2 linked regions of the Cricetulus griseus genome follow. The protein of the gene in region 1 purifies or fractionates together with the protein of each later gene. This does not show direct contact. Links are inferred from orthologs where the notes say so. Each region holds a gene or a part of one and is shown in the gene's direction. Other genes may lie near its edges.

Region 1 (4,950 bases):
TTTTAAAGGTAGCTGGAAGACAGCCATGGGTGCTTAGAACCAAGCTCTTATATTTTTGGTTGTGAGCCTAGCCTTTAACAGCTCAAGAAGAGATTTCTTTAAAAGAGATTTTATTCTCTTCTTGGGATGGTAGCTCATGCCCATAATCCCAGCATAGAGGAGGCAGAAACGAGGGTCACAAGGGTTCCAGGTCTGTGCTTGAAAAATTCATTGTCAGCCTGGCAGTGGTGGTGCATGCCTTTAATCCGGTATCAGGGAAGCAGAGGCAGGTGGATCTTTTGAGTTCAAGGCAGCCTGGCCTACAGAGTGAGTTCCAGGACAGGCTCCAAAGCTAAAGAGAAACCCTGTCTCAAACAAAACAAAACACATTGTCCTCAAGATTAATGGAAAATTACTAGACTTTAGAATCCATTTTAGGGCTCATTTTCTGTTGTAGGTGCCCTCCTGTCTCTGTCATTATTGCTCCTTATGTCCTTTCCTTCACACCATCCCTTCTGCTAGAGGAACTGCCTCTATTCAATGCCTTTGCCCAAGAGCTCATTCTCTCTGCATCCATGTTTATTTCTCTGACATTGGGACAGATGCTCCCTTGTGTCCTCTTATCATTTCCACTCTGCCTCCAGTTCTTACTTGTCCTGCTTTCCTTTCCCTCTCTCTTTTTTTGGCATGAGTGTAAGTGTGTGTATACATATGTCGGGAGAGCAGAGGCAGACATTTGGTATCTTTCTCAGTAGGTTTCTACTCTACCTTTGAGGCAGGGTCTTTCATTGAAATTGGAGCTAGAATGGTTGGCCAGCAAGCTCTAGTGAGCTCCTATTTCCATATCTCAAGAGCTGAGAAGTACAATTTCCAGCCAGGGCCCACAGCTTTTTTTTTTTTTTTTTTTTTTTTTTTTTTGGAGATTGCTGAGTCTCTGAACTCAGTTTCTCATGCTTGTGTGTGGCAAACATTTCACTGATTGAGCCTCCTCTCCAACCCACTCTTTCCTCCTGTAAAAGATTTTCATACCACGTGTTATAATAAGGGTTTTCTCATTTATGCCTCACAACCATTCTTGGTAGGCTCTTCAAAACTCTCACTGTACATTCATAAAAGCAAGCACTGGGAGGAAGGTAAAGCCCAGTTGCAGTCAAAAACGTTAGCAATAAGTTATTTAGGTAGGAACTAAAAAAATATTTGTGGACTTTTTTCTGACAACTTGAATCTGTTACTTTTCCTCTGTACAGTTCCCTGCACTGATCTATAAATGAGCACAAACATATTAAATTAAGCCTTTGAGTTGTCATCTAAGATTCAGCAACATTTTTTCATTTATAGAGAAAACGTTTTGGTGAATGCCACCGACCAAACAGGATGAGGCTTTCTTTATACAGATAAGCAAAAAGTACCCGACAACAAGGAACGCTTCTGAGACTTTAGGTCCTGAGAATTCCTATAGCAGTTTATAAGTCAAAGCCCTTAGTTTGCAGTGAAGACTACTTTTCCCAGTGTGCATCTCGCTTGCCGCAAGGACTATGTCAGCAATTGCTAACGCGCAATGCACTTTGGGGATTGTAGTCCATAGAGGCTCAACCGCTTCAACTGCCCGCCAAACAGCTACCGGAAGTGCCGGCCCTGAGGGGTGGAGTTGAGCTAGTGGCGGCGGCGGCGGCGGTTGCCAGGATCCCGCGTTGCCGCCTGAGGGACCCGTAATATGGCGGGTAGGAGGAGGAGGAGAAGGCGGCGGACCCAGATGCGCTCTGCCTGAACCGACTGAGGCCTTTGCTTCTGAGGGAGGCCGGTCCACTGGCCTCAGAGAAGCTGACCAGGCGGTGGGTGTAAGGTGAGTGAGAGAGGACCGGTTCGTCTCTTTACCGGTCCAGGCTGAGCTGAGACCGGGACAGGCGGCATTGGTGTCTCGCGGAGCAGAGTGCGGGCGTTCCGGGCCGAGTTTGGCTTCCCTTGGCCACGAGCCCACGCAGGCACCTAGGATGGGGAGGCTGGAGATTCGAGGGGATGTTTGGATGCTGGCTCCGCCTCCGCCCAGTGAAGCATAGTACATTGAGGAATAGGCATAGGACATGGGGCTTCAGCTTGGCGCGGGAGAGGTTTGGGCTTCTCCCTTGGTGCGGGCGATGGAGGCGTCCCTCTGGGTGTGCACTGGCTATTTTTGAACGTTGGTTACCACAACCAAGGGCTCTAAGAGTGCTGTTTACTCCACCTTTGCCACTGTGGAGCATCAGCACGAGGACAGTGAAGCTAGTTCTCCCCAGCACCCCTGCTGCTGCTAGGTGGTTCTCACCCTTTGCTTCTTCCTACCCTTCTCATTCGGATTCCAGCCTTCTCACCCCCCTCCCCCCAGTCCAGGCGTATGACAGCCAGCTAGAGATGGATTTAGCCGAGGAAGCCCTTGTCCCCTTCTCATGTTTTCAAGCCACATTTTAATCTTAGCAAAACCTAAACATTTTCTCCTTTCTTCAGGAGTTCACACTCAGGTGATTAAAAATCACCATTATCCATCCCCCCATTCAGAAAGCAGACCCCACGTCTTGATGCTTTCTACATGTCCTACATACAGTACTGCTGATTGCTGCCTGTGCTTTAGCTCATTGGTTTCCCATAAAATCGCTTTGAGACAGGAAGCTGGGCTGCAGGGATGATGTTAGCTTGCCACAAATGTACAGCTAGCATGTGCCTAAAAGCTTTTTCCCCCTTTACTGACTCTATGGGAAGTTTATGTATTTGTAGAAACTTAGTGGTAAGCAGCCAGCTCAGAAGCTGTGTTATCTTTGCATTTCCCTTCAGTGACATTTCTGGCAGGATGTTGGTTATGAATGAGCAGATAGGAGTTATGACTCTACAGGGTTTGCTAAGAGGCTCATTGGACAAAGGTTGGTCGTACTCAGTTATAAGTGGAGTAGACAAGGCATGTCTGGACCTGCAGAGGCTGGTATGAATGTAAGTGGACCATGGACCAGTAATGCCTGATGGTAAAGTATGGGGCAGGAGATTTATGGTTGGGTTCACCTTGTCATCAAGACTCCCTTAAAATAAAACCTTGCTTGCAAATGGTAACTGGTGTGAGATATGTAGTGCCCTCTTGCTAATCATGGAATCTGGACTCACTCTTGATTTTTTTGTTTTGTTTTGTTTCATTTTGGTTTGGTTTTTCGAGACAGGGTTTCTTTGTGTAAAAAGCCTTGGCTGTCCTGTACCTCAGGTTCTGTAGACCAGAGATCCACCTGTCTCTGCCTCCCTAGCACTGGGATTAAAGGTATGTGCAACCACTGCCTGGCTGGACTCACTCTTTTTAATGGCCATTTTTGCAATCTAGAAGTACCTAGTTCTCTGGGAATACAGTTGTTCTCAAAGCTGCCATTCTCAGAATTCTCTTTATTCTGCTGGTCTTACTTTATAGGGTTGTTTGATCTATTTGCCCTAATTAGTTTATTCAATAATTGTATTAAGTGCCTACTGTGTGCTGACACCCTTCTGTGTCATGGGGATTCAGTGAGTGGGACTCAGAAGGTACCTATTCTTTTGGAGCTTACATTTTGGTGGAGGAAGACACACAAAACTAAAGGAAATAAACAAGATCATTTCAGATCACTATCGGTTTGTAGAAACTGGGAAACACCAGGGTAATATACTAGTGACTGAGGGAGGGGAATTAAGGTTGGATGATTGGAGAAGGCCTCTTGGAGGAGGGGACATCTAAGCTGAAACTGATGGGTAAGAAAGGTCCAGTCATGCACCAAGATCATTTGGTGCTTTCTCCAATCTTTATATTATCACTGGAGCTGGAATGTCTAATTCATTGTCATGCTGTAAGTTACTCTGTTTCTGTACCTTTGCAATGTATAGGGTATGCATAGACCACACAAGGGCTGTGAATAACTTTCTGTAACAATTCTCTATGATTTAAGAAAAATAAACTAACAAAGGCAGCTTATGTCCTTAACTTTCCCAGACTTTCACTTGAGTTTATTGCTTTCTGTGCATATGCACAGGAATTATATCACATTTGTATTTCTTCTAATGGTGAAAAATAAAGGATGTGTTGTAAAAAAAATAATTTAGCAGAAAGGGATTTGTCTTAGTCTCAGCTATTATGTTTTGGCTAAGATATTGTGATATGAGTTGTTAAAACAATAAAGTGTTTTGTTGTTTTTTAGTCCTAATTTTTAAAGTGAATGTAAGCATGCAAAACAATCTCAATACTCTAGAGAACCAGATGTTTCTTTGAAATTAATCTTACTTTGCAATTATAAGCAACAGACTGAAGAGAAGTTCTGTTGCTCGGGTTGCAAAGCTCCTGTTTTCCATGACCTTCTCAGAACTCTAAGTGCTTTGTTTTTGTTTCCAACTGCACTCTGGTTTTCCCTGACTCTTTAGTATGAGTTTATATGTTGTATAATGTAAGTCTTCAGAGGCCCAGCAGGGCACCATGTTCTTTCTTACTTCATGTCTGCATGGCCCAAATCATGAACTGAATTTCCCTGCTCAGTCTTTGTCTGTTAAGTAGTTACTTGCCTTAAAATGAATGTTTAACGGGTATTATTACACTGGGCATTCTCTTTCTACAGTGTACTGGGTCCCTAGCTTGTTATGATCATGACAATGTTCCTTTTGTTATTTTCCCCTGCCTTACAGGAACCACGACTGCATGATGTTATATGAAACAGGCAATCAATAAGTATTTAGTACTTGCTAAAACATAGACCTATGCTGGCTAATCTTTCTGGTTACCTGGTATTTTCATAACCTCAAAGTTTTCTAGAAATTGTGAAATTACTGGGCTGACTGTTTTAAGTTGCTTGGTGACCTTTCAGATTTTCAACTATAAAATAAAATTAATTTCAGAGTCAATAGATTTTCTGTTTTCCACCCCTACCTGAGTTGGTTGGTGTCCATGGCATCAAAATATGAAGCCTTAAGATACACAAACAGTAAATTGCAGGAAGGCTAGTT
Region 2 (4,200 bases), on another chromosome or scaffold:
GAACCCACTATGTAGACAAGGCTGGCATTGAACTCACAGAGATCTGCCTATCTCTACCTCTTTAGTTTGGGGAGTAAAGAAAGGCACATGCCACTATGCCCAGAAGCCAAATGTTATATAGGGTTTAAAGGAAGTTTAGCAATGTTTAAGGTATAGGTTTGCTTTTAAGGCCAGGCTTGGTGGTGCACACCTTTAGTTTCAGGATTTGGGAGGTGGACAGACAGATCTCTATGAGTTGGAGGCCAGTCTGGTCTGCATAGCAACCTCCAGGACGGCCAGGGCTATATAGAAAAACTCGTCTCAACAACAACAAAAACTTTTTAAAAAAAAATTGTGGATGGCAAGAATTAAAAACAGTTGAATCCCTTCATATTAGACTTTTACGAGTTCCATCTCTCATGAAGCTATGTATTTTCATTTTAATTAGGCTAGGAAAATAAAGCCTTTTTTTTTTTAAGATTTTATTTATTTATTTTGTATATGGTCTTCTGCCTGCATGCCAGCAGAGGGCACCAGATCTCATTCAAGGTGGTTGTGAGCCACCATGTGGTTGTTGGGAATTGAACTCAGGACCTCTGGAAGAACAGTCTGTGCTCTTAACGGCTGAGCCATTTCTCAAGTCCTAGAATTTTTCTCTTTCCCCCCTCCTCCCAGGCAGGGTTTCTCTGTGGCTTTGGAGGCTGTCCTGGAACTACCTCTTGTAGACCAGGCTGGTCTCGAACTCACAGAGATCCCCCTGCCTCTGCCTACTGAGTGCTGGGATTAAAGGTGTGGGCCACCATCACCCCCAGGCTGAATTTTTATTTTCTAATTTGTATTTTTCCCTACTTTTCTAGGACAGTGTTGATCAAGAACTCCCTTCTCCAAAGCAAATTGTTGCTTTTGATAAGCAGTCAACATTAAAAAAAAGTATGTATATACATATATATTTTTAACATAAACTTGGTTGTGATTGGTAATGGACATGTCATAGTGTTTGGCATTTGATAGAAATTCTTTTCAAAATGAAGTACTTAAAATTTGTCATTAGTTAACCTAAAACTTAGATGCAGTTTTGCGTGAAATATATGATATACTATATAGTACTGTTGGGCCAAAATTGGGAGCATTGTTTTCTTTTTCTTTTATTTTCTTTTATTTATTTATTATGTATACAGTCTTCTGCCTGCATGCAGGCAGGCGGCACCAGATCTCATTCAAGGCGGTTGTGAGCCACCATGTGGTTGCTGGGAATTGAACTTAGGACCTCTGGAAGAACAGTCAGTGCTCTTAACCGCTGAGTCATCTCTCCAGCCCGGGAGCATTGTTTTCTTATGTCTTAATGATAGATACATTTTATAAAAACTGGTGGTACAACACCTTTAATCCCAGTACTTGGGAGGCAGAGTTCAAGGTCAGTCTGGTCTACATATTGTGTTCCAGAACAGCCAGGAATACACAGAGAGACCCTGTCCTAAAAACAAAGAAAGAAAACTGTATGTGCTTGCTATTTTAATATAGTAAAATAATTAGATAAATATAGTTACTAAGTTGATAATGATCTGAGTTGGCTTGTGGAGGTGATAATATGCTTTACAAACAGCTAAAAATCAAAGTTACACCTAACCTTTGCATTGATTCTCTCAAACATAGTGAGACTGTGAATTCACTAAAGAATATCATATCATAGCTCTCTCCTTGCCATAACACAGATGATTCTGCAACATAGTAAATTGGGTGATTCATCTATTTATTTATTTGTTTATTTTAGTCAAAGTATTTCTATCAAGTCGTTTCTAATGTCTTGATCACATTTAATCAGTTATTTGGCAGTTTCCTCATATGTTGCTACACTTTGCAGCTAATATTGATCCAACACGAAGGTATCTTTACCTTCAGGTTTTGGGTGGAAAAGCTTTCTTGGAACATCTGCAAGAACCTGAGCCTTTACCAGGACAAGTTTGTTCAACTTTTACTTTATGTTTACATTATCGGAATCAACGTTTTCGCTCAAAACCTGTTCCATGTGCTTGTGAACCAGATTTCCATGACGGCTTTTTGCTTGAAGTTCACAGAGAAAGTTCAGGTAAGAATATGTAATGATACCTAATTAAGTTTGTTTGGTTTTTATTGAAGAACAACCGCCACAGCTTCTGCGATAGAGATTATAAACCCGGCCTAGTGGCTCAGCTTCTAATTCCAGCACTCAGGGAACAGAGGCAGTCAGATCTCTTGAGTTCCATAGTGAGAACTTGTGGGGTCGGGGAAGAGAGAGATTGATTACAGTAAATGAGTATCTCTAGTTTTCTTCTCCAGTGCTATTTTTTATTTAAATGAGTTCTTACCCACTTCTTTTTTTTATTTTAATTTTTTTAAAGATTTATTTATTTATTTATCATGTATATAACATTCTGCTTCCATGTATATCTGCACACCAGAAGAGGGCACCAGATCTCATAAGGGATAGTTGTGAGCCACTATGTGGTTGCTGGGAATTGAACTCAGGAACTCTGGAAGAGCAGTCAGTGCTCTTAACCTCTGAACCATCTCTCCAGCCCCCCTTACCTACTTCTTGCTTTACTAATTTTCTCTTATTTTTTGCTATGTTAATTGTTTTCTTTCTTTCTTTTTTTTTTAGTCAATTGTTTATATATATCATGTATACAGTCTTTTGTACCTTCAAGTACTGGAATTACAAGTACATGCCACCACACCTGGTTTTGTAATGTAACAGTCCAAGTTTGAATCTGGTTGTGGTGGTTCATGCTTATAATTCTATCACTTGGGAGATTTAAGCAGGAGGGATGAGCTAACGCCGGAGGATTTCAAGTTGGAGGCCAGCCTGGGCTACATAGGGAGGCCATGTCTCAACAACACAAAACACAAAATACACACACACACACACACACACACACACACACACACACACACACACACACACCTCAAAGTTTATATAATGTGGGGGGCGGTGGAGATGGCTCAGCGGTTAAGAGCACCGGCTGCTCTTCCAGAAGACCAGCATCAATCCCCAGCATCCACATGATAGCTCACAACTGTCTGTAACTCCAATTCCAGGGGATCTGACACCTTCATACAGATATACATGCAGGCAAAAACACCAGTGCACGTGAAATAAACGTAAGGAAAAAAGAAAAAGTTTATATAATGTATCAGTGTATTCGATATATTTTACTTACCAACCTAAAGCCATAAAACAAGCAGAATCGAAGAAGTCTGCCTAAATAATTTAGTGCCTTTAAAAGATGTCTTAAAGTTTTTAATTTTTTTCCTTTATTGAGCTAGGGTCTCAAATAGCACAGACTGTCCTTGAACTCAGCGTATAGCTGAGGGTGGCCTTAAGCTTCTGACTCTTCTGCCTCTTCTGCGTACACCCACTAGTGCTTGAGTTTTAGGTGTGTGCCAACATACATGGTTTATGTGATGCTGAGGTCACACCCAAGGCCTTGTCCATAATACACAAGCACTCTACAAACTGAGCTGCACCCTAGTCCTTTGTAATTTTATTTTTCTCCCTATAAAAATGTTTTTTGTTTGGGTTTTTGTTTTTGGGGATTTTTTTTTTTTTCAGGACAGTTTTTCTCTGTTCTAGAACTCACCCTGTAGACCTTTAACTTTTTTTGTATGGAGGCCTTCGTGGTGGGAGGCCAGTATGGTGGTACATGTCATTAATCCCAGCCTTTGGAAGGCAGAGGCAGGTAGATCCCTGAGTTCCAAGGACAGCCAGGACTACACAGAGAAACTCTGTATTGAAAAACCAAAAATACTTTGGTAATTTCTGGAGTTGAAGAATGAATGTAATTTGAGGATTAATATTTACATAGTGTTTTTTTTAAATATTATGTGTATGGGCATTGTTCCTGCATGTATGTATGTGTGTTTGTGCACAGTGTGCAGTGTCCACAGATGCTTGGAGAGGGTATGAGATCCCCTGGAACTGGAGTTACAGAGGGTTGTGAGCTGCCATGATGGTGCTGGGAATTGAATGCATATCCTCTACAAGAACAAGTGCTCTTAGCAACTGAGCCATCTGTCTAGCACCCTGGATTTTTAGGTTTCTCTTTTTGGTGTGTATGTGGAGTTTTGAGGTGGGTCTCACTATGTAGCTCTGACTAGCCTTGCACTCACAGACCCTCCCTCCTCTACTTCCAGAGTGCTTGGATTTAAGGTGTGTGCTAACTCATTTAGCTGATGGCCTTTTCT

What was found. Proteins that work in one complex are often made in the same cells at the same time.
Region 2: the proteins of Ccp110 (region 1) and Cep76 purify together in Homo sapiens (co-immunoprecipitation; 4 studies listed by BioGRID and IntAct, with this or other methods). This does not show direct contact. The link is inferred for Cricetulus griseus from reciprocal best matches to the Homo sapiens genes CCP110 and CEP76.

The regions. Positions count from the first base shown.
Region 1 is NC_048596.1:81,893,639-81,898,588, reverse strand, and holds the start of Ccp110 (centriolar coiled-coil protein of 110 kDa), read left to right. Parts: upstream 1-1,628; 5' UTR 1,629-1,822; intron 1,823-4,950.
Region 2 is NC_048595.1:171,770,362-171,774,561, forward strand, and holds part of Cep76 (centrosomal protein of 76 kDa), read left to right. Parts: intron 1-836; coding exon 837-909; intron 910-1,840; coding exon 1,841-2,065; intron 2,066-4,200. UniProt on the Homo sapiens protein: Centrosomal protein involved in regulation of centriole duplication. Required to limit centriole duplication to once per cell cycle by preventing centriole reduplication.